Arabidopsis thaliana: one gene and its partner. The protein of the gene in region 1 purifies or fractionates together with the protein of each later gene. This does not show direct contact. Each region holds a gene or a part of one and is shown in the gene's direction. Other genes may lie near its edges. The genes, in order: GSH1 and AT2G43090.

Region 1 (14,591 bases):
AATTCACTTTAGATGACTGAGCGCTTATCAGAAGAGCTTTGTAAGGCTGCCTATGAGGGGGCTTAGGTGCATCTGATGATAATATAAACGGCTTAGATTTTTTCCCCATTTGGAACTTGCAAACCTGAAAGATCAAAGGAAAGAATTCACAACAAGAGAGAGTGAGAGAAACAATGAAAGATAAAAGATTGTGTGTGAGAACTTATAAGTGTCTTTGGAGGACTCTAGATATATAGATTTTTCTCCTTGCTTTTACAACCCTCAAATTGGATGGTAACAGCTTTAAATTTTTGTCTTTGTTTCGCTCCTAAAATACGAAAAAGAAAGATATTAGATTAATGTTGTAATTTTAAATCGTACCGTTTGTTGGACCGAATCAGAAGTCTCTAAACTAATTTTTTCTATTTAAAATTTGGTGCGATACAATAATTTTTGTAAAATTTATTTTTAATAGTTTAACTTTGTATGATAGAGTTCAAAGATTCAATTCTTACAAATTATTAACTAATTTAATTATCTAATTGAAAAAAAAAATTCTTCATAATTATTTATTAAGTCAAAAGTAAAAAAGGGTAAAAAATCCGTCTACAATACTTAATTAGGAAAAGATTTTGTAGTCAGATATCTTACCTTTTTATACTTTAGAATTATAAACATTAGCTACCAAACATTTGAATATAATAATTTTGTAAACACTTTGTTAGGAAAAGATTTTGGCAGTAAATGTATATGGTATTAGATTTTTTAAACAAAGAAAATAAGATTTTTCTTTATATGATTGTTTTTTAATTTGGTATTTTTTAATAAAAATGATTTTTTCATTATTGTTTTTATCTAAATAAGGATTATGGAGATCAAATGAATTTTTTTATCTTATTATATAAAATACATTTCAAGACATTAATTTATTTATTTTTTTCGTTTTTATCTTCAAATTACATTTTTTTTTTAAACTCCTTATATAGTCATTGTTTCCCTTTTATTCTTCTATGATCAGACAAATATCTCTTTAACCATTTAACCTAAACGAACAAGTTTAACAATTGTCTTAGTTCAATGAATTCGAATTATATTTTAAAAATATATATTTTAACTTATAAGTAAAGTATTTCTAGTCATAGAAGCATAAAAAGAAAAACTAGAAACTCAACAATAAGAGAATAATTTTAAATCTAAATTATAAGACAAAACCAATAAAGCTTTTAAAATATGTCTTAGAAGTTAGAACAAATGAACGATGAACTGTCTTGAGATGGATTTCACATAATATGAGTATATGACACATAATCTCTTAAAGTTTTGATTGATTTTCATTCTTTCGGCTGTTGAATATGCCCCGGCCCTCACTCTTGTAGTACAATCTTTTTATCGGTACACACTGAGTTACGTCACTGTCGATGTCAATATCCATTATGGTGGTTTTAAATCATGAGAAAGAATCGAGGTTAATATCAGTCGATTAGTATGAAAATCGAACTGATTTACAAAGATAAAAGATTGGAATTAAAAAAGGCTCTTGATCTATTTTCTAGCTTGTTTTCTAGAAAGAAGTGACCCTGGTCTATACGACCTCCTTAGTCAATCCATGCAAATCATAACGTCCCCATCTCGATGTCTACCAATTTAACGTTTCCTTTTTAATTTGTTAGATATGCCCGTTTTATTTTGACTTGCTCAAACTGTATAGGGCCATCACGAGCTAAACTGATGTGACTTGGGCCTGGTGAGAGTCATGAAGCTCCGGAATGTTGTAGCTCGATGTTACCTATATAAGCTTTCTTTATGGGCCTTGAATAGGCCGAGTTCAAATGTGAGAATCCAACACCAACAGCCACTTAGAACAACTTTTCAAGATTGTGTATCATCTACCTCTTCGGCCATATTAAGAATATGTGTAGTTGGGCTTCGGTGAGACTTATGAGTTGGGCTTGCCATGACAATCCCAGATGTTACTTTTCTCTTAATCCCTAGGAAGAAAATCTTTTGGTAACTTCAAATCATTATAAGCGCAAATAGCTAGCTACTATGTCTGATGCATTTAGTTACTTTGTGCTGAGGATTGGGGTCTTTAATGTGAAATCGAAAGTTTAGGGTTTCTCGTGGATATTAGAAAACGTTAAGGTTGGAATATAAAGGAAAAGATTAACTGAAAGAGTCTGCATAGCACACTCCAGCTTAATTCCGTATCGTTTTAGGATTTCTGACTTCACTCTTTGACGGCTATATATTAATGTGATTTTCCATTATGTCAAATGTTAATTATTATTTTTTAGATAAGTTTTCGTGAAAGTTGAAACGGTGTGACTTGTGAGTGACGAATGTATAGGAAGAAACTGTGGAGGTGGGTTCCGTTTAAGGCTTTGGTGGTGTGGAGATTAGAAGTCATGGCCGCCATTTTTGAGTCACGCACGTGTCCACCTACCTTACCTTCTTATAACTTATTCATTCATGTGTTCGATAAAATATATTTGATATTAATTTAAACATACAACATAGAAGTGCACAATTACAAGAGTTTTTTTTGTTTTTCTATTTTTGTCGCTACAAGAGTTTTTAGTTTTTACTTACGTTACGTATATGCAAACGCAAGCAATTCTGCATCTATTTGTTTTTCAATGGCAGCCATAATTGATATCAAATAAATAAATTACTAATGCCACATGTTTTTTTAGCACAGCTTCATAATTCATAGGAGTATCGATATGTAACACAATAATGGATCTTGTAGTAAAATTTGAATAGAGTCAATTAAAAAAAAAAAAAAAGATAGAGTCAATCTGTGCGATATAATGAAATTAGAACGAAGCTCGAATTTTAAGATTTTAAATTATAACAAAACTCAAATGTGTTATAACATTCAAAAAAAAAAAAAAAAAAAAACTTAACACAATAATTAGTTTTTCTCATTTTGAGAAAACCAAATTCTCGAAAGTATGTGAAAAATACCATGGAATTTGAAGGATTTTGTAGATTACCAAATAGTAAACAAAATTTCTAAACTTGTTTTACTATGATTTTGTCACGAATACAAAATCAAACTCAGATAGAGAAATTAGGTGATATATAGCCATAATTGTGTTTACTACTAAAAATACAGTTATTTCTAAAAATAAGGTAAATGACCACCATGGTACCATACTATTCCATGAACAATATAGACAAATAGCCTTCCATTGTTATAATTGGGATATTGTCAAATCCATCCCGTATCTATATATATTATTATACACAAGTAGAACTTTTGATGGTGATTCATTATCTACCATTCACATGTTTTTGTATCATTAAATTGTTGATTATAAAAGCAGGATTTGATTCCACCTACTAAGAAGTAGGAAATATAAAAACATAACGCCAATTTTCGTTCATCAGAACCAAGATTTTTTTGTCGACACAATCAAACCAAATAGATAATGATACTGTTTTTTATAGTAGTATATATATTTCTTTTCCTATAGAGTATTTTATCTGAGGTCATGTGGTTGGTTAGTGACACACTTTTCATTATTTTACGTTCTAAATTAAATATCGTAAAGTTAAACCTCGTTTAAAGTATACTATAAAGAATAGAAATATCATTAATTCATTATACACACTATAAAGTTAACCTTTGTTTAAACTACTAATAAACTGGTTATTTAAAAAACTATTAGGGTTAAATTTGTGAGAAATGGAAAAGTAAGAGGCAAAAAACGAAAGAATCTTTTATTACAATGATTATTAATTTTATCAACTTTCTTTTATAGACAGCTCAGCTCCACTGATCGGCTCATGCTCCACTGATCAACTTTCTTTCATTTTTTTATCAGTTTCTCATTTCTCTCTCAGTCGCATATAAATTTGAAACGCCGATTCGTTTTTGCTCTTTAAGCTTTCTTCTTGATTTCGACGGTGTCTCTCAATCTCCGTCAAGCTTGACGAATTTCAGGTGTGATTTGCTTCTCTTCTTCTTCGCTTTCTGGACTTGTGGATTTTGGTTTTTGATTGATTTGTTCTGCTTTTTTTTTTTTGGTTGAATCTTCGCTTTTTCTCATGATTTTTTTTTGGCTGTTGCATGATTTTGGTTTTGTTAGAGTCGAATTTTTGCAGATTTTTGCTTTGATTTGATTTTTGTTGTTGTTGTTGTTTCTGGTTTGGTGATACACGAATTTTGATTTGTTCTTCCAGATGATAGTTCAATTCTGTGGTAGCTGCTGATTCTAATTATGTGATATATGTTATTAGAATTGAGAAAAATGCAGTTATTTGTGATTTCTCATAGCTTATGATGAATTGTTATAATTGCAGGAGCTATATATACCATGGCGCTCTTGTCTCAAGCAGGAGGATCATACACTGTTGTTCCTTCTGGAGTTTGTTCAAAGGCTGGAACTAAAGCTGTTGTTTCGGGTGGCGTGAGGAATTTGGATGTTTTGAGGATGAAAGAAGCTTTTGGTAGCTCCTACTCTAGGAGTCTATCTACCAAATCAATGCTTCTCCATTCTGTTAAGAGGAGTAAGAGAGGGCATCAATTGATTGTTGCGGCAAGTCCTCCAACGGAAGAGGCTGTAGTTGCAACTGAGCCGTTGACGAGAGAGGATCTCATTGCCTATCTTGCCTCTGGATGCAAAACAAAGGACAAATATAGGTACAGTTTGATGCTTATATGTTCTGTTAAAATGCTACTTAGTGTTTGTAATTGTGACATATTTCTTTGTTTGTGCTCTTTTACGGTGTTGGTATTGTTTGAATTCATCCAGATTGTTTGTCTATTGGAGAAATATTCTGTTTTGCTAACTTAACATTGTGAGTTTTCAGAATAGGTACAGAACATGAGAAATTTGGTTTTGAGGTCAATACTTTGCGCCCTATGAAGTATGATCAAATAGCCGAGCTTCTTAATGGTATCGCTGAAAGATTTGAATGGGAAAAAGTAATGGAAGGTGACAAGATCATTGGTCTGAAGCAGGTTAACATTCTCCTGTGTTTCATCTTTTGAGCCGTTTATTATTTATATACATTTTCAGCCTGTAGAACATGTTAGCTTCATATACAACACAATGATCGGTATATTATAAGGTTTCAGTCTTTTTTTTTTTTTTGCTGTAGATAACTCGTTCTGTCCTTTTGTTGACCAGGGAAAGCAAAGCATTTCACTTGAACCTGGGGGTCAGTTCGAGCTTAGTGGTGCACCTCTTGAGACTTTGCATCAAACTTGTGCTGAAGTCAATTCACATCTTTATCAGGTAATTTCAAAGATAATTATTGCCAATGCTCTCACCCTAAAACGTGACAAATAACCAACTATCTACGGATGTCACAGGTAAAAGCAGTTGCTGAGGAAATGGGAATTGGTTTCTTAGGAATTGGCTTCCAGCCCAAATGGCGTCGGGAGGATATACCCATCATGCCAAAGGTATGACGCTTTCTCTATTCTTAAGATTGAAGAAAGTTAACATCTGTTTGTTTCTAATTCAGATAATATTATCTGATTCTACATAGCCAACGTTCGGATTATTTCTTGGTGTTTGTGTTAAGTTTTCCTATGACGAGTCAGGCAGTAAGATTTGACATAGTGTAATGTGTTCTGTGCAGGGGAGATACGACATTATGAGAAACTACATGCCGAAAGTTGGTACCCTTGGTCTTGATATGATGCTCCGAACGTGTACTGTTCAGGTTAGATTAATATTCTGACTTTGCGCCTTTTCATAATTTCCTTAAACTAAACTTTCCAGTTCTCATCAATAATCTTATTTTGAAACTTATAGAAACTGCATTACTTGCAATCTTGACAGGTTAATCTGGATTTTAGCTCAGAAGCTGATATGATCAGGAAGTTTCGTGCTGGTCTTGCTTTACAACCTGTGAGAAGCTCGATCTCTTTGTGGCATAACCAGAAACTTTTATTAACGATTTTGACTAACCATTGCCTCACTATTATCTAAATTCAACAGATAGCAACGGCTCTATTTGCGAATTCCCCTTTTACAGAAGGAAAGCCAAACGGATTTCTCAGCATGAGAAGGTATCTAGATTCAGTTGTTATGATCCCCGATATCTTTTTGAATTAGTTTCCCTCCCACCTTATAACTCTGGTATGTTTTGACAGCCACATATGGACAGACACTGACAAGGACCGCACAGGAATGCTACCATTTGTTTTCGATGACTCTTTTGGGTGAGTATCGATGTTTAATCTATGAAAAACAATTACATTACATTGGTTGGTTTGGTATGAGAAGCTTCTCAAAAACCAATGACTCTGTCTCGCATTCTTGATGAGTTATTGGAAAATTGATATGTGCTATTCTGTGGATTTTCTTACATATGTTTGTGTTCAAGATAGAAAGATGCTTTGGATCTTTATCCTTCTCTTGAAACAGCATGGCTAATCTTAATTTTATTGCTCTCTTTTGTTCTTATCTGGTATAGGTTTGAGCAGTATGTTGACTACGCACTCGATGTCCCTATGTACTTTGCCTACAGAAAGAACAAATACATCGACTGTACTGGAATGACATTTCGGGTCAAAATCTATCCTTAATCTTTTCTGTTAGGTTCTATAACTGTTTCATTGCAAGGAATTGGCAAATTGAAAACCATGGGATCTTCTTGAATTATATCTAATCTCATAATATTCTTCATGCTGCAGCAATTCTTGGCTGGAAAACTTCCCTGTCTCCCTGGTGAACTGCCTTCATATAATGATTGGGAAAACCATCTGACAACAATATTCCCAGAGGTTAATCATCTGCCTCAAGAGTCTTTCAATCAGCCTATGACTTTCATTTCCCTGTCTTATGTTGAAGTCTGACAACGTTCCATAACACTAGGTTCGGTTGAAGAGATACTTGGAGATGAGAGGTGCTGATGGAGGTCCCTGGAGGAGGCTGTGTGCCCTGCCAGCTTTCTGGGTAACTACATCTATTAGCACATATATATTTCGTGCTTAATGAGAATGTTTCAAAAAGTATTGACTGTTGTTTTGATTTTATCTACAAATTTCAGGTGGGTTTATTATATGATGATGATAGTCTCCAAGCTATCCTGGATCTGACAGCTGACTGGACTCCAGCAGAGAGAGAGATGCTAAGGAACAAAGTAATAACAAGACGCACCACATTTACATTTTCTTATTCCACAGTTAGAAAACATCTTGTAATAAACTAATACTTGATTTCCAACAGGTCCCAGTTACTGGCTTAAAGACTCCTTTTAGGGATGGTTTGTTAAAGCATGTCGCTGAAGATGTCCTGAAACTCGCAAAGGTGTGTTTGTATGAACCCTCTTAGAAACTTCGAGCCAGCTTTCTATCCCGTCTGGTCCAGCTTCTAACTATTGGACTTATTTTCTCTTTGTTTCTCAGGATGGTTTAGAGCGCAGAGGCTACAAGGAAGCCGGTTTCTTGAACGCAGTCGATGAAGTGGTCAGAACAGGTAAATGAAGTTTCCTAATGCATAATTGAATTCCACACCGACATTTTGTTTGATAACCTGGTGGTGAAATTTGGTTTTGAAATGACAGGAGTTACGCCTGCGGAGAAGCTCTTGGAGATGTACAATGGAGAATGGGGACAAAGCGTAGATCCCGTGTTCGAAGAGCTGCTGTACTAAGAAAATGGGACGTGAACAAAAGGTGTCTATAAACCTTTGGGTGTGAGTTTATGCTATCTGAAGAATTCGAGTCTCCGGAATAAGGATTTTTTTTTTTGTTGTAATCGGATTTTAAAAACTGATTTTGTTTTAGAAATTCGAAGCATTGAAAAGCAGAAGAAAAATTGTATGTACTAAACGATTTCGGTGTGGGAAATCGTTTGGGAGGGTGTGTTTGGATCTTGAATAAATTACCCATTTTTCTTGTCACAAATTTGTCTACATTTAACGAAATAACTCAAAACTGATTTCAAGGCAAAGGCGACGGATGGGATAATCTAGGCTGTGTAGTGGAAAGTTTTGATGTTTAGTAATTTGGCAATGTATGTTTTTTTCTAAATGGGAGAGCATCTTCGATGTAGACATTTACGAGCTTTTCCTTTAATAGGTTTTGGCTAGTGAAGAACACTGCTTTCATAATTGAATCCACCAGACTCCGCGTAAACTAAACTGATTACAACACGATGATCCTGGCCGTCGGTAATTATCGTAAAACAAGAAGATAGTGGCACTTAGGTGACAGGATAATATGTAAACCCTACCAAGGCGTCCCTACAAAATGATGAGTGATGACTGATGAGAGTGAGAAAAACCGAGTCTCCACAGTCCACACACTGCCTTACCTAATTAATATACCCACCTTTCATTCATGTATGTTACGTCAACGTTTTTATGTCCGTTAAAACTGTAATCTACATAAGAGATCATAATTTTTAAAATCTCCATGTATTTCGTTGATACTTTAATTTGGCACGTTTCTAGTTTTTGAGATCAAATGTTTTTAATCTGCTTCTAGTCTTATTTTTCCTAAACCTTAAACTGTAAACCAATTGCTTTTTCACATAACCTTGCTTGTTTTCAATTTTAAAATTTAAGTCCAATATTTGAAACAACCTAACAAATGTCGTCTATGGCAACCAAAAAAAAATAAAAAATCAAAACAATTTGCTAAAAAGGAAATTGATTAAAATTGATTTCTTTCATTTAAATTGGAATTTAATATATTAGGTAAACATGTAAACGCAATCGCAATTTTTATGAGAGACTTCGGGCCGGTTCGTTTAAGTGTCGCTGCGACTATAACTAGCGACTGGCTTTAAAAACGACTGAGTTTTGTTTGTTTTTATTGTTTTTTTTTTAAGTTCGAATATGTCGTATAGATCTGTAAAATAATTCAAATGTGGCTTTGTCCCATAGATTGGTTTTGATTATGCAATCATCTATCACAACAGTGGAACATTATGCAATCATTTATTGTCTATCAAATTAATTATGGTTATGAAATATGAAGGATCTTACATCTTAAAAAGTGTTAATTATGATCGCATGCCATTTAGATTCTTTCAAAAATTCAGTTTGAAAGTGGAAAGCGCGCCAAAATTTGCAGAAATCAAAAATCCGTTAAAAAACGTTACCAAAAAAATATTTTAAAACGGGCCAAAATATTTCAAATGTGGATTCCATAGATTGGTTTTGATTATGCAATCATGTATTACAACAGTGGGTTGAAATCACTTCTCCTACCTGATCATTAGCTTCAAAAGTGCCTTGGCTACAGTAATAGGATTTTTCATGTATATGAAAATATTAGTTCAAATGGGAGACAATCTTTTGAATTGGTATAGAGGTTGTCAGGTTGATCAATGATTCAGGGGAAGAGTGATGACAAATACTAAGAAATGATCCAGGAGGTTGTCATCCGTTTTCCTATTAATAGAATTGGATAAAAACTTATTTGACTTCTAAATATTTATTAGGTTGAACATTTTCTCAGATATACTATGAAAACAGTCAAACAAAGGATAGTCAAATTTGCATCCGTGCAAAATATTTATTGTGTAGAAAATTAGAAAGCAACTCTTTAATTAGTTTCTTCACTAGCCTAAATATATTTCCCCTTCTCACTGTTTCTACTTTTGATTGATTTACTTATAAATGCCGATTGAGGCAACATTCCTCCATACTTCAATTTCTTTCTTTCCGCTTAAGTTAACGATTTGGAAAAACATGAGCGAGAACTCTTCGATTACAGTGGATCAGCCAACAACGTCTGTTTTCTTCTTCTTCTTCTTTCTTATTTACAATTTATATTTTCTTGTATTTATCAATCTTGGAGTCTTGAATCTAAACAATATATATAATGATCTCTTTTTCTTCAATCATCACAGAGAAAATGGTAATGGCCAAGGAGAGCAGGTGATTCAATTGGGTAATATGCCGCCTCCTCGTAAGTATATTTCCAATCTTCAAAATTAGGGTTTCTTTGAGGGATCTTGAAAATGTCATTTTCACCTCTTTGTAGTGTCACCACCCACCGCACGCAGAATCCTAGTGATCCCGCATGGAGCCGTAAGTAGTTTATTTTCCTCCATTAGTTCTGTTTCCATACAACTTCTTCTCCTCTTGAGTTTTCTAAAAGAGATGTTTTGAACCTCGACCAACAGGAAATTGTCAGTGTACTGGCATATATTTCTAGGGCTTCTCGTCAGGCAGTCTACATCTTGTCAGGGAGGGGATGCGTTTCACGAGCCAACTTGGTGTCGTTACCAATCCGAGGAAACCGCATGGTAAGTGTTTTAGTCTTAATCATTCAATAGAAGCTTTTTTAGTTTCCAATTGTTTCTCTGATTCTGCTTGGCTATATATAGGGTATTGGGAGAATACTTTACTTGAGTGGATGGTTCCAACCGATGCTCACTGATGTAGGTGTTGCTGTACATTCTAGTCGTCCCAACGGAATACTTCACGTCTCCCTTTCAGGTGTTTCACCAAGTGTTGCTATTGCATATCAACTTTTTGCTTTCGGAGATGTTGAGGTGTTGTTGACTCTTTTTACCATTATATATCTCAATAGATTCTTTTAGATTTATTGATACCAAAAACTCTCAATACTTCTTGAAACACATTGTAGGTGGATGTTTTTTTTGTTTGCGGACCGGGGTCAATATTTCAACCGGATGCACCAGGTGCACCGAGAGAACGGGTACGAGTTAATGGAGTAGCATTAGCACAAGCACCTGCTGGATAATAGATACTCTATAAAATTTAACCTAGAGATGGCTGCAAAAACAGAATAAGTAATAGGAAGCAACAACTTATTATTACTTACAGAATGATATAAAACATAGTTGTTTGCTTTCTCATATTTGACTAATAAATCAATAAAAATAATAATATTACCTTGATGTTGAGATGAGATGTGGTATGGGAAACTAATACGGTTGATGACTTGGGAATCTTTGTCATCAACAACTTGGGAAAGTTACGTTTAATGCTTTTGCTAGCTACTAGATTACAATACCTTTTTGATTGGATTCTTGGAGCAGTTTAACATCAACCTGCATTTCATTGAGCATTTGCAGCGAGAATTAAAATCTAAAATATAGGATATAGTATCCATACCAAATTAACAATAGGAACTTACGGAAGCGAAAGAAACTATATATGCTACATAAGAGATTTTCAGAATATTGATTACAGAACAAGTTCTCTATAGTGTACAATACCTGGAAGAAGAAGAAAAAGATTGATTTATAATGGGATGTGTTAGACTCTTGTAGTCTTGTTAATATTTCAAACCCAATGGTATAAGATTTTTAATCAAAAATAATATCAAATTCTTTAAAAATGATCTTTACAATGCTAAACCAAGTAAAAATAAATAGATGGCCGCTCCCTGTTTTTTGATCAAATAGAACTTTCAATCATTAACATTACGTCACTTATTATTTGCTGGCAGTGCTCTTTTATGTCTAAGGGCTTATGATCTTCGCTTGGCAAATTGTCATTTGTGAAACCGAAGTTCACAGCCCACCCAACTTACCAAGAAGACACTTCCTCTTCAACGTGATAAGTTATTTCTTTCTAAATGAATATGAAATTTTATTCAATTAAAACAAAAAAAAAAACGTTTTTACAACCAAGTGTTACTGTTGGTTTGAAGTTTCATAATTACATGTTTGGACCCGCATGCTTAAGGCCTAGTTTAACATCACTAGTGACAACAAAATCACATAAACTTATATTACTCAGACAATATCAAAATCACACAATTTCATCGAACACAAAACTTAATATTTCATTGGTTTTATTAGTTAGTTTTCTTACAAATCGATCCCATTAAATGAGCATTATTACAACCACACACATGCTAAAGTGCATGTAGACTATTGAGCATATTCGTGTAAGATATGACCTCAAATAATGGGGTAGTGAAATGAAACTTGACTTTGGACTATAAGCTCAACCAGAAACAAAATTAAGTCTAAGTTCTAAAAAAATTCTAAAGTACTTAACAGTGTTATATCTAAATAAAAAAAAGTTTAGATTTTTGTAAGATAAAAAAATTAGGTAATGTGTAGTGGAATTTCCTAAAGATGATGATATAAGAAATACAATATTTTCTAAACTTGGAACATATAAAGAGTTCTTCTTTCTTCCTCTTTCTAACCAAGTCAAACAAGTTAAATAAAAATATATGAGGATGTTCTTTAAATTTCTCTTAAATTTCTTTTTCTATTATTTTTTTTTCATACTAAGAAATTTATTCTCTTGCTTTCTTCTGATCATGTTCAGACATTACAATTTTATAATAATGGTAAGCACTATGGAAGTTTAATTACACTTGGGGCCTCCATAAACAATAAGATGTCCTACATTTCTCCAAGAATCTTGCATATATATTGTATCTCCCACTTTATAACAACCGTCTGAATATCTCTCTGTGTTTTTCACAAAATTGTCGGCATTATAATTTTCGTCCCAAGTCGTGATCAAACGGACATATGAGTCTAGTCTGGGGGTCCCCTTCGGATAATGGCTATTACCCATCGGAGGACTTGGGGACGAAGGGCTATGGACTTCACCACCCCATTCGATCTCTGTACCAAAACTTTCTTTGAACCTCTTTGCTGGCCAGACACCAATTTTTTCCCATAATATGCCAGTACCCATCAACAACCACCAATTTCCGTTGTCTTTGTCCTGTACTCAACAAAATCCACATTAAATAAAAAAGACTAAAATTATAGACAAAAGCTTGGCATGCCTACGTTTACCGATTCACATAATTAAAACATGCAATTACTGTTTCTAACAATTCTTATCAATGTTTGGATACTCAAATTTTAAATATCAGCAAAAACAACTTGGGAATACCAATACCTGATCTCATTTTTAAAACTATAATTGACAAAAATCTTTATTGAATTCAATTTTTGAACTATCTTTATACAAACTAAGAGAAATTTAAAGAAAAAATCAAAAATATTTTTAAAATCTAATATGAAAAAAAATCCTAACACTAATTTTCAGTACCCATATCGATATTTCATCTCCATGCATCTACATATTACTACTTGTTCCATACTCAAACGTTCTTGAATACCTAAAACATGAAGAGTTATGTCTATAATAGTTGGAAAGGAACTTACCTTGATTATGGCAAAGTTTAAATCTCTGTGCTCGGTAAGTCGTCCAGGAATAAGATCTTGACCTACTAGTATCATTCCGAATCCATCCGGACATAAGGTATTATAACACGCACGTCCTCCTGCCTAAATAAAACCATATAACATGTGACAATAAATCATATGGTATAAAAACGTAAAACAAGATCTATCCCGCTCACATTTGTATATACGAATAGCCGAGAGTTAAAGTCGTGGTATAATGCCGGGTGTACCTAAAATGAATAGAAAATATGATTCAGATATATTAATCAAAGAAAATGATACACCATAATACATCGAGTATATAAAAAAATAGCGGATCTAATTAATTGACTTACAGTCCAACCAACTTGGATGAATTCATTTCCAATTTGAAAATGCATCCGAGTAGAGCTGAACTGCGTAGGTCCAACCAAAGGATTGAATGCATTAGTATTCATATACGCTCCATTGTAACGCCTTGTTTTTTCTTTAAGAGTCCGCAACACAGCAAACTGAATACAATGGTTGAGAAAACTAACATTAGTAGCCCACTAATCTCATTATTGTGACATTTTATTATATGTAATAAATCTCTATAAATTAATAATATCGAGACAACAAAATAAAATTTATAAATATATTAATGTATCATCAGTTCATAATTTATAGAGAGGTTTGGCTAATTTTATAAACTTTTAAAACTTTTATGTCAAAAAAAAGCTTTTTCTTTATAACCAATATATTTGTAGAACTAATTACAATTTAAAAAAAAAACAATTACTATGTCTAGAAAACAACACAACACGTTTTTGATGGAGTAAAAATATTAGAAATAAACTTTACTAAGAATAAATGCAAGTTTTATTTTAAAAACAATAGTAGAGTCATATTTCACCAAATTTTCTTACATAATATATATATTAAGAATTTCATACAATTATTAATAATATTAATGAGATAATATATTTAAATATGATTTCAAAAAAAAAACTCGAGGCTATAAAAATTATTTAATATATAGTTATTATTATTTTATCAAATATTAATTTAGAAAGGTTTTTTGTATGTTTGACATTTCTTACTTAAAAATAAAATGATAAAAGAAAACACTTACATGATGACGTCCATTAGAAGACGTAGATTTATATGTTTTGCTCCACGAACTTTGCGGATTATAATTATCGCCATTTAAAGATTTCATTTTCAAAAGAGTGTCTTTGGTGACTTGAAGTATAGGAACTGTACCAATAGGACAACCTACACTATTCTTCCAAAAGTGGCTAAATGTTTTGTTACTATGTGTCTGTCTCTTAATTTGTAATCCTTCCGGATATGACATCAAGCGCATCTACACATAATTAGAATCCATATAAATTAATAAATTAGTCAAAACAACATTGAATTTTCTTGATTTTAATAAATTAAACGTACTTTTCTTAAAGTAACCTACTAGAAAAAATAAATAAAAAATTGAACTCACATGTAAGTGTTTGATATATCACCGTCATTCTAATCAAAATACCAT
Region 2 (10,715 bases), on another chromosome or scaffold:
ATTTCAGAATACCTCAATATAACAGCCATAATGATGTTGTGCATACCCTGAAAACAACAGCCACTGCGTTAAATTGACGGAAAAAGCACATATACATTTAATCTAAATTCTAGACAGGTTCAAAACCGCCGGATGTTAATGAAATTACCTGCATGCCGCCAATGCAGAAAAATATGGTGAGCACCCATACAAACCATGATGACATGAAGTAGAAAAGGAGCAGCAGAAATATGGAGGCTGTTACAATAAAAAATACAGCACCAGTGACACTTATATCAAGGATTTCCTTCTCTGGGTCATCTTTTCTGGTCCCAGCACTAGAAACATCCTGGAAAAAATTCAGTAAATTATTTTTTTTTCTTTAAAAAGACATTGTTAATTCAGCTACATAAACTGAAGTTTTGATCACCAAGTCTACAGAATAACAAGAGGCTGCTACGCAAAGTATCTGGGAAATGTAAACTACGTGTATAGGATATCAAAGGCAGTTAATTGTAGAAACCATAGCATGCAAAAGTGCTTAACCACAATTCTCTGGTACACCTTTGCTAGTATGCTGTAAGATTCATTAGCTTGGTCAGGATCTGTAAGCTCTGACCACAGTGATGCAACGACAACAGTTCCCACAGCCATGAGCAATAACAATCCAGCTGTGAGGTCCACGGCAGGACGCTTTGGAGCATACAACAAAAGCTCAACTGCATCATAAAGAAACTGGACTTAGCCTAAAAGAGATTTATACGAATACCAGATGGTTCAAATTGTAGAGCTACAGGACCAACAAGAGAAAAACTGAAGTGCGAAATCACAAAGGCTCACCATTCTTATTGTCAACCATAGACTTGTTGAGAGCATCTCCGCTTGACTTAGAGATCATTAAGACAGGTATGCTCACATTTAGAGATGTGTCCTTTTCCATACATCCCATCTCATCAAGATCTGATAACAGATCATGAGTAAATCATATGATCCAAAGCTACGAAACACGAAAAACATCAATCCGAAACCGTATTGAAAAGAAAAAAACACCTTCTTTGTCATTAATGACTAAGAGAGCAGAAGCACCAGCTGCCTCAGCATGTTTGGCCTTCTCAGTGAAAGCACAATTGCCACGGATCGACAAGGCAATATGTCCATCTAACTGGAACAAACAATGTCAATACAAGATATCAATGAACATTGCCAAAAAAAAAAGTCAGCTTGCACTTCCAAATTACATGGTGGAAGCCATTGACTTCATTCTAAAAGCAAGAAGAAAAGAGAAACTGACCCTGGAAGAGAGATGGGAACAAGAGTCCAAAGGATCTACAAAAGCAGCAGGAAATCTAAGAGCTTGATCAGGAACAGAAGGCAAGGCAGCTCCAAATTGAGCAGTTAAGCCAGTAAGGAAGTCTCCTTCAACACCATCAACCCAATTTAAGACCTTTACCTATATGAAGATCATTTCCACCAAATATAGAATCTCATTAACAAAGAGAGAGAGAGAAGGAAAACTAGATCAATCAACTCCACTGAACCAGAGAGTGATTAGATACGAAGTAAAGATAAGAAATTGAATGCACCATTTGAAACTTATTGGTACAGCCAGGAGACTCGAGGCTGGAATCTTCGGTCCACGATACATCGTCGGCCGCCGCTACCGAAAAACCAAGCAGGAGAAGAATAAGTACTAAGGCTGAATATCGGTGATTCGGCGGATCAAACGACGACATGACGCAATCGACTGAGCAAATCGGAGAGAAGAAGAAGAAGAAGAAGAAGAAGAGACAAAGAGTTGCTGTTAAAATCTTTCTGGGATATATCGGACGGTCGATATTATAGTCTTTTTTATCCTCTAAATTCAATAATTCTTTTACTGTTTCTATTGTGCCAATTTTTGAGTGATTCATTAAAACTATATGATATACGACAGCTCTTTTTGCTCAACTAATCAAAAATCATAAATTAATATATGTCGCATTATGTAAAATATAATGGTTTCAAAAGTATTTTGAGCAGAATTCAGATCCCCACGATGTATTTTGACTTGTCTAGTATGTCAAACAAACAAATAGAACAGTTAAGTAGAGGAGTTTGATTGTAAATTCTAAATGTCATCGTACCGGCCGGTTTAAATGTTCTTCATTTGATAACTATCAAGAAAAACTAAATTATTTAGATAACTAATTTATATGAACTCGATTTATCTGTTTATTTAACAATAGAAATATCAAGAAAAACGAATAATTCAGGAGAGAAACACCTTCTTGGTTATATAAAATTACAAGAAATTTACAGTTTGTACTTAAAATCTTTTCCCTTTGAATTTCGTTTTGAGCTAATTACAAAACAATTTGTTTTTTTTTTTCTGTTTGGTTCCCTTTGTAATTAGTACCTTAATTTACTCTGACAAGATGAATATTTTTCCAAAAAGAAAGTAAAAAGAGAAAAAGAGTCCATGACGGATATTCAAAAAATAATTAAAACAAAAAGGAAGGGAAAGAAGAAAGAAAAAGGCCTTTGTTTTTTTAAAGAGAAGAGAAGATCTCTGAGAAGAAACTCCTCTGACGTTTTTTCTCCACCCAAATCTCTCTCAACTCTCAAGCTCCTCTCTTTTTCTTCCTTCTGCAACAACAACAACTGTTACTGATCTCTCTCTCTCTCTCCCAAGTTTTTATTTTATTTTGATCGGAGATCGAGATCAGCTAGACATGGCTCCTGCCATGAAGATCGTCTTCGGTCTCTTGACATTTGTCACTGTCGGAATGGTCATCGGTACTTTCTCTCTATTTATAGTCCTCTACATTTGATTTTTAATTTTGGTCTTCAAAGTTTATATCTTTTTTTTTGTTTTCTCTCGGCCAAATTGACTCTGTGAGAAATTGAAACGGCTCTTTCGTAAACTCATGGAGATTGTGTTTCTCTTTTGTTCCTGGAATCTGCAGGTTCCTTGTTACAATTGGCCTTTATTAATAGATTGGAAGATTCGTACGGTAACTCCTCTTTCTTTCTTATTTTCTTCATTTATACTTGTAGATGTGTCTTTGGTGATAGAATTGCAAATATAGGTATCTGAGCTCTTGAGCAAGGGATTGAGAGGACATTGCACTACAATGTCAACGAATTCGTAGGACTAGATCAGGGATTTTGATTGTAGTTTATGCTTACTACAATGAAGAGATGATCCCCTTTTGGATTTTCTATTGCTTGTTTTGTTGTTGTGGTGTCCTTTTGATTTCTAAATTCTTTCTCCTTCTTATTCAGGAACTGGATTTCCGTCTCTAAGAGGACTTCGAGGACAGAACACCCGCTATCTACGAGGTTGGTGTGATCATTTCTATCCAAAACTATGCTTGCATTTAGGTTGTTAACATAATAGTCTCTTTCTAACTATTTGAATCTCGGCTTTATGACAAGACTCTTCTTATAGAGCTTGATTTGTGGACATGTTATGATACCGAATCGATTAATGGCAAGACTTGTTTATTTTCAGATGTCTCCCGGTGGGCAAATGACAAAGATGCAGAATTGTTACGGATTGGCAATGTAAGTATATCGTATCCATTTTGCAGTTGTTTTTTTTTCTTAGGGCCTATGGTTGCCTAAAAATTTCATTTATATACCTCTACAGTTGAAGAATTGGTACATGGAGGAGAAAAATTAAATTGTTTGTAGTACGGACACATTTCTTAAATATACTATCTCTTTGTGAAACTATGAAAATTACACACACATGTATCGTTTTTTGTTTTACTTCTGTAAATCTAGGTCCGTTTTGTGTGCTTCCAGCTAATGTTTATTTTCTTTAGTGCAGGTCAAGCCTGAAGTAGTCAGTTGGTCCCCTCGAATTATTGTGCTTCATGACTTTCTCAGTCCGGAGGTATATACACCCCCCACTAATAAATTCTAGTTCATTGAGTTAGCTGATTGTAGAATAGTCTGTTCTTGCTGATGTTAGGCCTTTAAGTAGAGAAAAAACTTGTTCATATCATCTTTATTCTAGCAAGGATAAGCTAAGATTTGATAGAAAAGCAAAATCTTAGGCTCAGTTCTAAGTATTATCATAAGAATTAGCAAAAGAGCTTTTGGCTGTTTTTTGTCTTCCCATTAAAATAGTTTTCTTGTTTCTCCTGATATGTATATTTGCAGGAATGTGAATACCTAAAAGCAATCGCCCGGCCTCGCCTTCAAGTTTCCACTGTTGTTGATGTAAAAACCGGAAAGGTATTGGACAATACCTTCCTTTTAGTTCTGTAGAAGAAGTAAAATTTCTATTACATCCACTCTCTGCCTTCGATTGTTCAGTTGTTTCAATCAAACATTGGACACAAATAGAAACGCTCTAGGTTTGCCTGCAAAGTCTAATTCATTCTCTTCCATAGTAGACATATTCTAGTTATGCTTTCAAAGTCTTAACCATACTCTTCCATTTTCTTATCACTTTCTTCTTGCTTAGGGAGTTAAAAGTGACGTGAGGACAAGCTCCGGAATGTTTCTAACTCATGTAGAAAGAAGTTATCCAATAATACAGGTAAGTCACTCTCTCATATCTTTTAAAGGCGTGCCATTTTGATCAACTTTACAATTTTGTAAATTATATTCCTTTTCGTTTGCTATTATTAGGCAATTGAAAAGCGAATTGCAGTCTTTTCTCAAGTACCAGCGGAAAATGGAGAACTTATTCAAGTTCTAAGGTGCGTGCACAACCGCAACCTTACTATTTTTTAAATCTAAAGTAAACGAAGCTTTTTTCTTGTTTTGATGAATCAAAATCTGCTGCAGTGCAGATATGAGCCGCAGCAGTTTTACAAACCACATCACGATTACTTTGCTGACACTGTAAGTCTTTGGTTCTGTTTTCATATATATATATCATTAGTAGATTGGTAAAGAAAGCTTTTGCTCTGATTAAAAAAAAAACTAAAAAGAGGCTACAGTATTTAACTTTTGGTTTGGTCAATAATGTTTAGTTGGATCTGTACTTCATCTTCTCCTTCTTCATCATCTTAGAACATTTAGTTTGGAAGTACGTTTATTGTGGGTGTTCATCATATTTCCTCGTTTCTTTTCTTATGGTTGCTACACAGTTCAATCTAAAGCGTGGTGGTCAGCGCGTAGCAACTATGCTTATGTATCTAACTGATGACGTCGAAGGAGGAGAAACTTATTTCCCTTTGGTATAACACTTTCTCTCTGTTCATGCAAATTTCAGAAAACAAAATAAACCAATGGTGTAATATCTCTCTCTCTCTACTTGAAATGCAGGCTGGTGATGGTGATTGCACCTGTGGTGGCAAAATCATGAAAGGCATCTCTGTTAAACCCACCAAAGGAGACGCAGTTCTCTTCTGGAGCATGGTTTGTTTCTTCAATCTCTCTCTCTATGTCTCTACACAAACATGAATCAATTGGACTGCTTTGAGTTCAATTACTTCTTGTGTTATTCAGGGACTCGACGGACAGTCAGATCCTAGGAGCATACATGGAGGATGTGAAGTTCTGTCTGGAGAAAAGTGGTCTGCTACTAAATGGATGAGGCAAAAAGCTACTTCTTGAAGAACTACTTAAAACTTTTTAAAACAAAAAGAAACCACAGGGACTTATATTGAAAAATGTCATAGTATCTCAGAGTTTTGATTTACTCTCTTTTTGACCCTTCAATTTTAGAATTTATCATTTACATACGTAAATCAATATGAATGTGTTTTACATTTTAACCTCTCCAACAAATTCTAAATTACTGTTAGCATATAACTGACACAGAAAACAATTACTGTTACAAAAGAATTAACTATCATTTCACCGAAATAACGAAGGAGAGTGGCATTTTGGTAAATAAGAACAAAGTCTCTATTTATAATCGCATTTTGGTTGACTTGCTTCAATCTTGACCACAGCAAAGAGAAACAAACAATGGCGGCTTCTCTGCAATCAGCAAACCCTACATTGTCACGAACCCTAGCTTCTCCGAACAAACCTTCCTCCTTCGCCACCTTCCGATCTCCATTTCTCAGATTCAATTCAACATCCGTCGCTTCCAATTTCAAACCCCTAGTTTCTCGAGAAGCATCCTCATCGTTCGTCACTCGCTCCGCCGCCGAGCCACAAGAAAGAAAAACCTTCCATGGACTGTGCTATGTCGTCGGCGACAACATCGACACTGACCAAATCATTCCCGCGGAGTTTCTCACTCTCGTCCCTTCGAATCCAGAGGAATACGAGAAACTCGGTTCTTACGCTTTAGTTGGTCTTCCAGCTTCTTACAAGGAACGATTCGTTCAGCCAGGTGAGATGAAGACGAAGTACTCAATCATCATTGGCGGTGAAAACTTTGGATGTGGATCGTCACGTGAACATGCTCCGGTTTGTTTAGGAGCAGCGGGAGCTAAAGCAGTGGTGGCTCAGTCTTATGCTAGAATCTTTTTCAGGAACTCTGTTGCTACTGGTGAGGTTTATCCTTTGGATTCTGAAGTTAGGGTTTGTGATGAGTGTACAACTGGTGATGTTGCGACTGTTGAGTTGAGGGAAGGAGATAGTATTTTGATCAATCATACGACTGGGAAAGAGTACAAGCTTAAGCCGATTGGTGATGCTGGACCAGTGATTGATGCTGGTGGTATATTTGCTTATGCTAGGAAAGCTGGAATGATTCCATCTGCTGCTGCTTGATTTTGACTTCAGGTATGATTCTGTAACTTGATGATGATGATGATGAGGATTGGTAATAGGTTAGGATTGAGATCGAATTTGTGGAATAGTCTAGGAAGCTTGACATTGAATTGAACGATGCAAAACATAGTTTTCAATGGTTCTAGTTAGAGAAAGAGAACACAGTAGTTGGGATTCTAGTTTTGTGTTGTTTAAAATGTGTTGGTTTAGTTTTTGTGTGAGATTGATAATGACTTGTTATTCTTTCTCTTCGCTTAAGACTTACTTTATCTTTCCATTGGTTCAATTTCTAGATTGTACATCTCTTGATTGTAGTTGTTGGGAGGGTAAAAGTTATGATGTTGGCTGATCTTTTCCATGCTCATATCCATTAAGACTTGAGTGTCCGATAGTAGAACAATACTTCACTCTTATTTTGTCTCTAAGACTCCTTTTTTTTTTTCCTTTTTTTGTTCTATTTGTTTTGCAGGTGTCAATGGAAGTGCATGAGAGTCACTTCAAGGATCTTGATCCAATAATAAGAATATGTAATGTTTCCAAAAGCTTATGAACCTAATCTATGTTTTATGAATATATATGACTATCGGCTTTAGTCTTCAGTATCAGTTTCTTGTTTACATTTGGATGTATCAGCTGCTAAAAAAATGCATAGTTTCCCATCCCATTTGAAACGACGTTTTCTCTCATGTCTTCCACTAATATAATCTTCTGGTCATGAGAACAGAACAGGAGCTCTGTTTTTCTCACACAATGATCGAACACACTTTTGTCATATAGTATAGAGAAATATTAACACTTCTTTTTAGGCATCCGTATCTAGAGTCTTTGTTTCACTGTGACCTACCTAAGTATATCAAAACGCACGTTTGGAATTCTGAATGGCACTTTCGTAAATAGGAGGGTACAAACATTTCTCCTTTTAAATTGTTTTCATCGTGAACTCTCTCACTCACTCAACAAAGTAAAGAAACAATGGCGTATTCTCTTCCTACATTTCCCCAAGCCTTACCTTGCTCGTCAACCAAAACTTCTTCCTCCTTGGCTACCTTCCGATCTCCTTTCTTAAGATTCAATGGTTCCACTTCCTTAATCCCCTCCTCTATCTCCATCACTTCACGTGGCACATCCTCCCCGACCATCATCCCACGTGCTGCCGCCTCAGAATCCGACTCTAACGAAGCCCTAGCCAACACAACCTTCCACGGCCTCTGCTATGTCTTGAAAGACAACATAGACACCGACCAGATCATCCCAGCAGGAGCCGCTTGCACCTTCCCATCGAACCAGCAAGAGCGTGATGAGATCGCCGCTCACGCTCTCTCTGGTCTACCAGACTTCCACAAAACACGGTTCATTGAGCCAGGAGAGAACAGATCAAAGTACTCAATCATAATCGGCGGCGAAAACTTTGGTTGCGGATCGTCACGTGAACATGCTCCGGTCTGTCTTGGAGCAGCTGGAGCTAAAGCCATAGTTGCTGAGTCTTACGCAAGAATCTTTTTCCGTAACTCGGTTGCTACAGGAGAGGTGTTTCCGCTCGAGTCAGAGGTTAGAGTCTGTGAGGAGTGTAAGACAGGAGATACGGTGACGATCGAGCTGAGTGATAGTGGTGGTTTATTGACTAATCACACGACCGGTAAAAACTATAAGCTGAAGTCGATCGGTGATGCTGGACCGGTTATTGATGCTGGTGGTATTTTTGCTTATGCGAGGATGATGGGAATGATTCCATCATTAGCTTAATCCTCTTCCATAACCATGATGGTGTTCTTGTATGCATAACTATTTGATGAATATTTGTGTTTTAGAGTTTTCTATTTTCTTAACTTTTTTATGTTTGTTTGATTTGGTATTGTTGTTGTTACCTAAAGAATAAGAAATCAAAAGCAAAATAGACCGACATGTTCCAAGATATGTGAATATGGTGAGTGTTTACTAAATTATGCGAATATTGTTGTTGCAACCTTATTTTCTTCCAAGTTGGGCATCAATTTCCCTTTTTGGGCTTAGTCTTCTTTTGTTTGTAAATTTAGTTTGTTTTAGTTTATTGTTGGCCCATTTCTGTAGGGTTTGGCCCGTTAAGTAAGTACCATGTAAACCCAGAAAATTTACAACGAAAACCCTTTAGCAAAAAAGTAATAATTCCGTTGGTAACTTTTCTCATTGTAGTACATGGCATATTTTACTTACTCTACTAACCAATTTGGTTTGGTTATTGAAAATTTGGCGGTTTAAACAAACCGATATAAAATAACCGTTAAGCGGTAAAAGAAAGGACATCGCTAAACCTAAATTTGCGACTCCTACTTTATAACGCCGCTCTTCTTCTCCATTGTTTGTATACTCTGAAAAACATGGCAACTACAGAGCTAAAACCCTCCGCCGTTAAAAACCCTAAAAGAAATCGAAGACCATCACATGGTCCGAAGAAAGATTTGAAGAAGAAGAAGACTAAGATTACTAAGAAGACTAAGAAGTCGAAAGCTCCCACCTTTGATAAGACCATTGAGAAGAGTAGAAGTAACGACCAGAAAACCGACAACGACGAAGACGAGCAACTGTATTCGGAACCGGTATCGGCCTCTGAGCAGCTCAACTACTTTTTGAATCATCTTGACTCCGCCATTGGTATCAAGGTTTCTTCTTTAGAGCTTGAACCCATTAAAGGTTCGTCCTTTGTTTTATTCTAGCTTGGTATTTATGTACTTCTGTTTAAGTATATCTTATTGGGTTTAGATATAAAAAAATACGAGCTTTGATTGTTCATTCGACTTATCAATGCACAGATTTCCCAAGTTCTGATGAAGTTAAGATTTGTCTGGTTTAATTGCAGATACGTGTATAGTTGAGTTATCTCAAGGGTTGGATCAAGATGTAAGCAACTTGGGAGAACATATAAAGCTTTCTTGTGGGTCTTCATGGAGAGAGACTCTTTGTGAAGGAGAGTCACTTGAAAGGAAAGTTGAACCGGGAAACCCATCTGTTCTTGTTATTAGTTCCTCTGCTCTGAGATCTTTGGAACTTCTAAGGTACATTGTAAATATGTGTACTTGTATCTTTGTTATTGATTGATATAATGCTTGATTGAATAGAAAGTTGCTTAGACTGAGTCCTGTCTTATGTATGTAGGGGTTTGCATTCATTGACTAAGCAATGTCCAGCAGTGAAGTTGTTCTCAAAGCATTTGAAGGTTGAGGAACAGGTAGTGTTTTATTCTTATAATGATTTGTCTATAGAGAACTGAACTTAATTCTAAGCACATAGAAAAGAGAGAACAAATTGAAACTGGCATTTTGAGTTATTTCGTTATTGAATCTTGTTTTGGTTCTCTTGTGTGGAATGCATTGTTCTTGCTTCTCTGGAACTTGGGATATGATGACAAAAATACGATATCTCTAAGGCTAATTGCTGTGCGGATGAAATGTATTTGCACGTCAGTCTGATCCCATTATGTATATAACATTAGGAGTTGGTGCATGCTCATGTAGTTCGTTTCTTTCATTTTTAGTTAATGTTAAGGATTTGGGAAGTGATGATAAGATATATCAATATATCATAGGCACATGCAATGCTGAACGATATATATTTGCACGTCAGTCTGATCCCTTTATATATATATAACATTAAGAGTTGGTGCATACTCATGTAGTTCATTTCTTTCTTTTTTAGTTCATGTTAAGGATTTGGGAAGTGATGATAAGATATATCAATATGTCATAGGCACTTGCAATGCTGAACAATATATATTTGCACGTCAGTCTGATCCCTTTATATATCCATCATTAAGCATTTATGCATATACTCATGTTATTCTTCCCTCTCTCTGTCTGTCTTTCATGTTAAGAGTCTGGGAAATGATGATAAGTATATCGATATTTCAGAGGCGTATGCAATGCTGAACGAACTATTTGCACGTCAGTCTGATTCCAGCTCTTGTTTTTGTTTCTTAATTTGCATATAAGAAGACTATAGAATTAGATTCTTCTGCTTTGGTCTAAATATGAAACTCTCATTTAAAAAAGAAATGGTTTCCGAAAATCTTTATATAAATTTCTCAAGCTCATTGT

The links.
Region 2: the proteins of GSH1 (region 1) and AT2G43090 fractionate together in Arabidopsis thaliana (co-fractionation; one large-scale study listed by BioGRID). This does not show direct contact.

What each region holds. Positions count from the first base shown.
Region 1 is NC_003075.7:12,096,462-12,111,052, reverse strand, and holds GSH1 (glutamate-cysteine ligase), read left to right. Parts: upstream 1-3,357; 5' UTR 3,358-3,928; intron 3,929-4,287; 5' UTR 4,288-4,301; coding exon 4,302-4,627; intron 4,628-4,797; coding exon 4,798-4,948; intron 4,949-5,117; coding exon 5,118-5,225; intron 5,226-5,302; coding exon 5,303-5,395; intron 5,396-5,574; coding exon 5,575-5,658; intron 5,659-5,777; coding exon 5,778-5,846; intron 5,847-5,936; coding exon 5,937-6,007; intron 6,008-6,091; coding exon 6,092-6,160; intron 6,161-6,414; coding exon 6,415-6,508; intron 6,509-6,634; coding exon 6,635-6,724; intron 6,725-6,815; coding exon 6,816-6,896; intron 6,897-6,990; coding exon 6,991-7,083; intron 7,084-7,169; coding exon 7,170-7,250; coding exon of another isoform or gene 7,251-7,274; exon of another isoform or gene 7,275-7,348; coding exon 7,349-7,418; intron 7,419-7,506; coding exon 7,507-7,595; 3' UTR 7,596-7,692; exon of another isoform or gene 7,693-7,954; intron 7,955-8,745; 3' UTR 8,746-8,918; downstream 8,919-14,591. Other genes in the region: AT4G23110 (insulin-like growth factor binding protein), read right to left, coding at 1-109; AT4G23090 (uncharacterized protein), read left to right, coding at 9,570-9,682, 9,803-9,861, 9,937-9,983, 10,079-10,201, 10,283-10,450, 10,546-10,662; AT4G23080 (transmembrane protein, putative (DUF239)), read right to left, coding at 12,249-12,617, 13,067-13,189, 13,264-13,317, 13,423-13,578, 14,181-14,414.
Region 2 is NC_003071.7:17,913,065-17,923,779, forward strand, and holds AT2G43090 (Aconitase/3-isopropylmalate dehydratase protein), read left to right. Parts: upstream 1-5,861; 5' UTR 5,862-5,892; coding exon 5,893-6,648; 3' UTR 6,649-6,660; intron 6,661-7,117; 3' UTR 7,118-7,432; downstream 7,433-10,715. Other genes in the region: SPPL3 (SIGNAL PEPTIDE PEPTIDASE-LIKE 3), read right to left, coding at 13-47, 149-328, 526-698, 820-939, 1,030-1,141, 1,271-1,429, 1,563-1,889; AT-P4H-1 (P4H), read left to right, coding at 2,691-2,754, 2,925-2,972, 3,244-3,300, 3,473-3,525, 3,794-3,859, 4,129-4,203, 4,436-4,510, 4,603-4,673 and 4 more; IPMI2 (isopropylmalate isomerase 2), read left to right, coding at 7,621-8,391; AT2G43110 (U3 containing 90S pre-ribosomal complex subunit), read left to right, coding at 9,003-9,315, 9,482-9,677, 9,778-9,850. UniProt on the Arabidopsis thaliana protein: Catalyzes the isomerization between 2-isopropylmalate and 3-isopropylmalate, via the formation of 2-isopropylmaleate. Plays an essential role in leucine biosynthesis.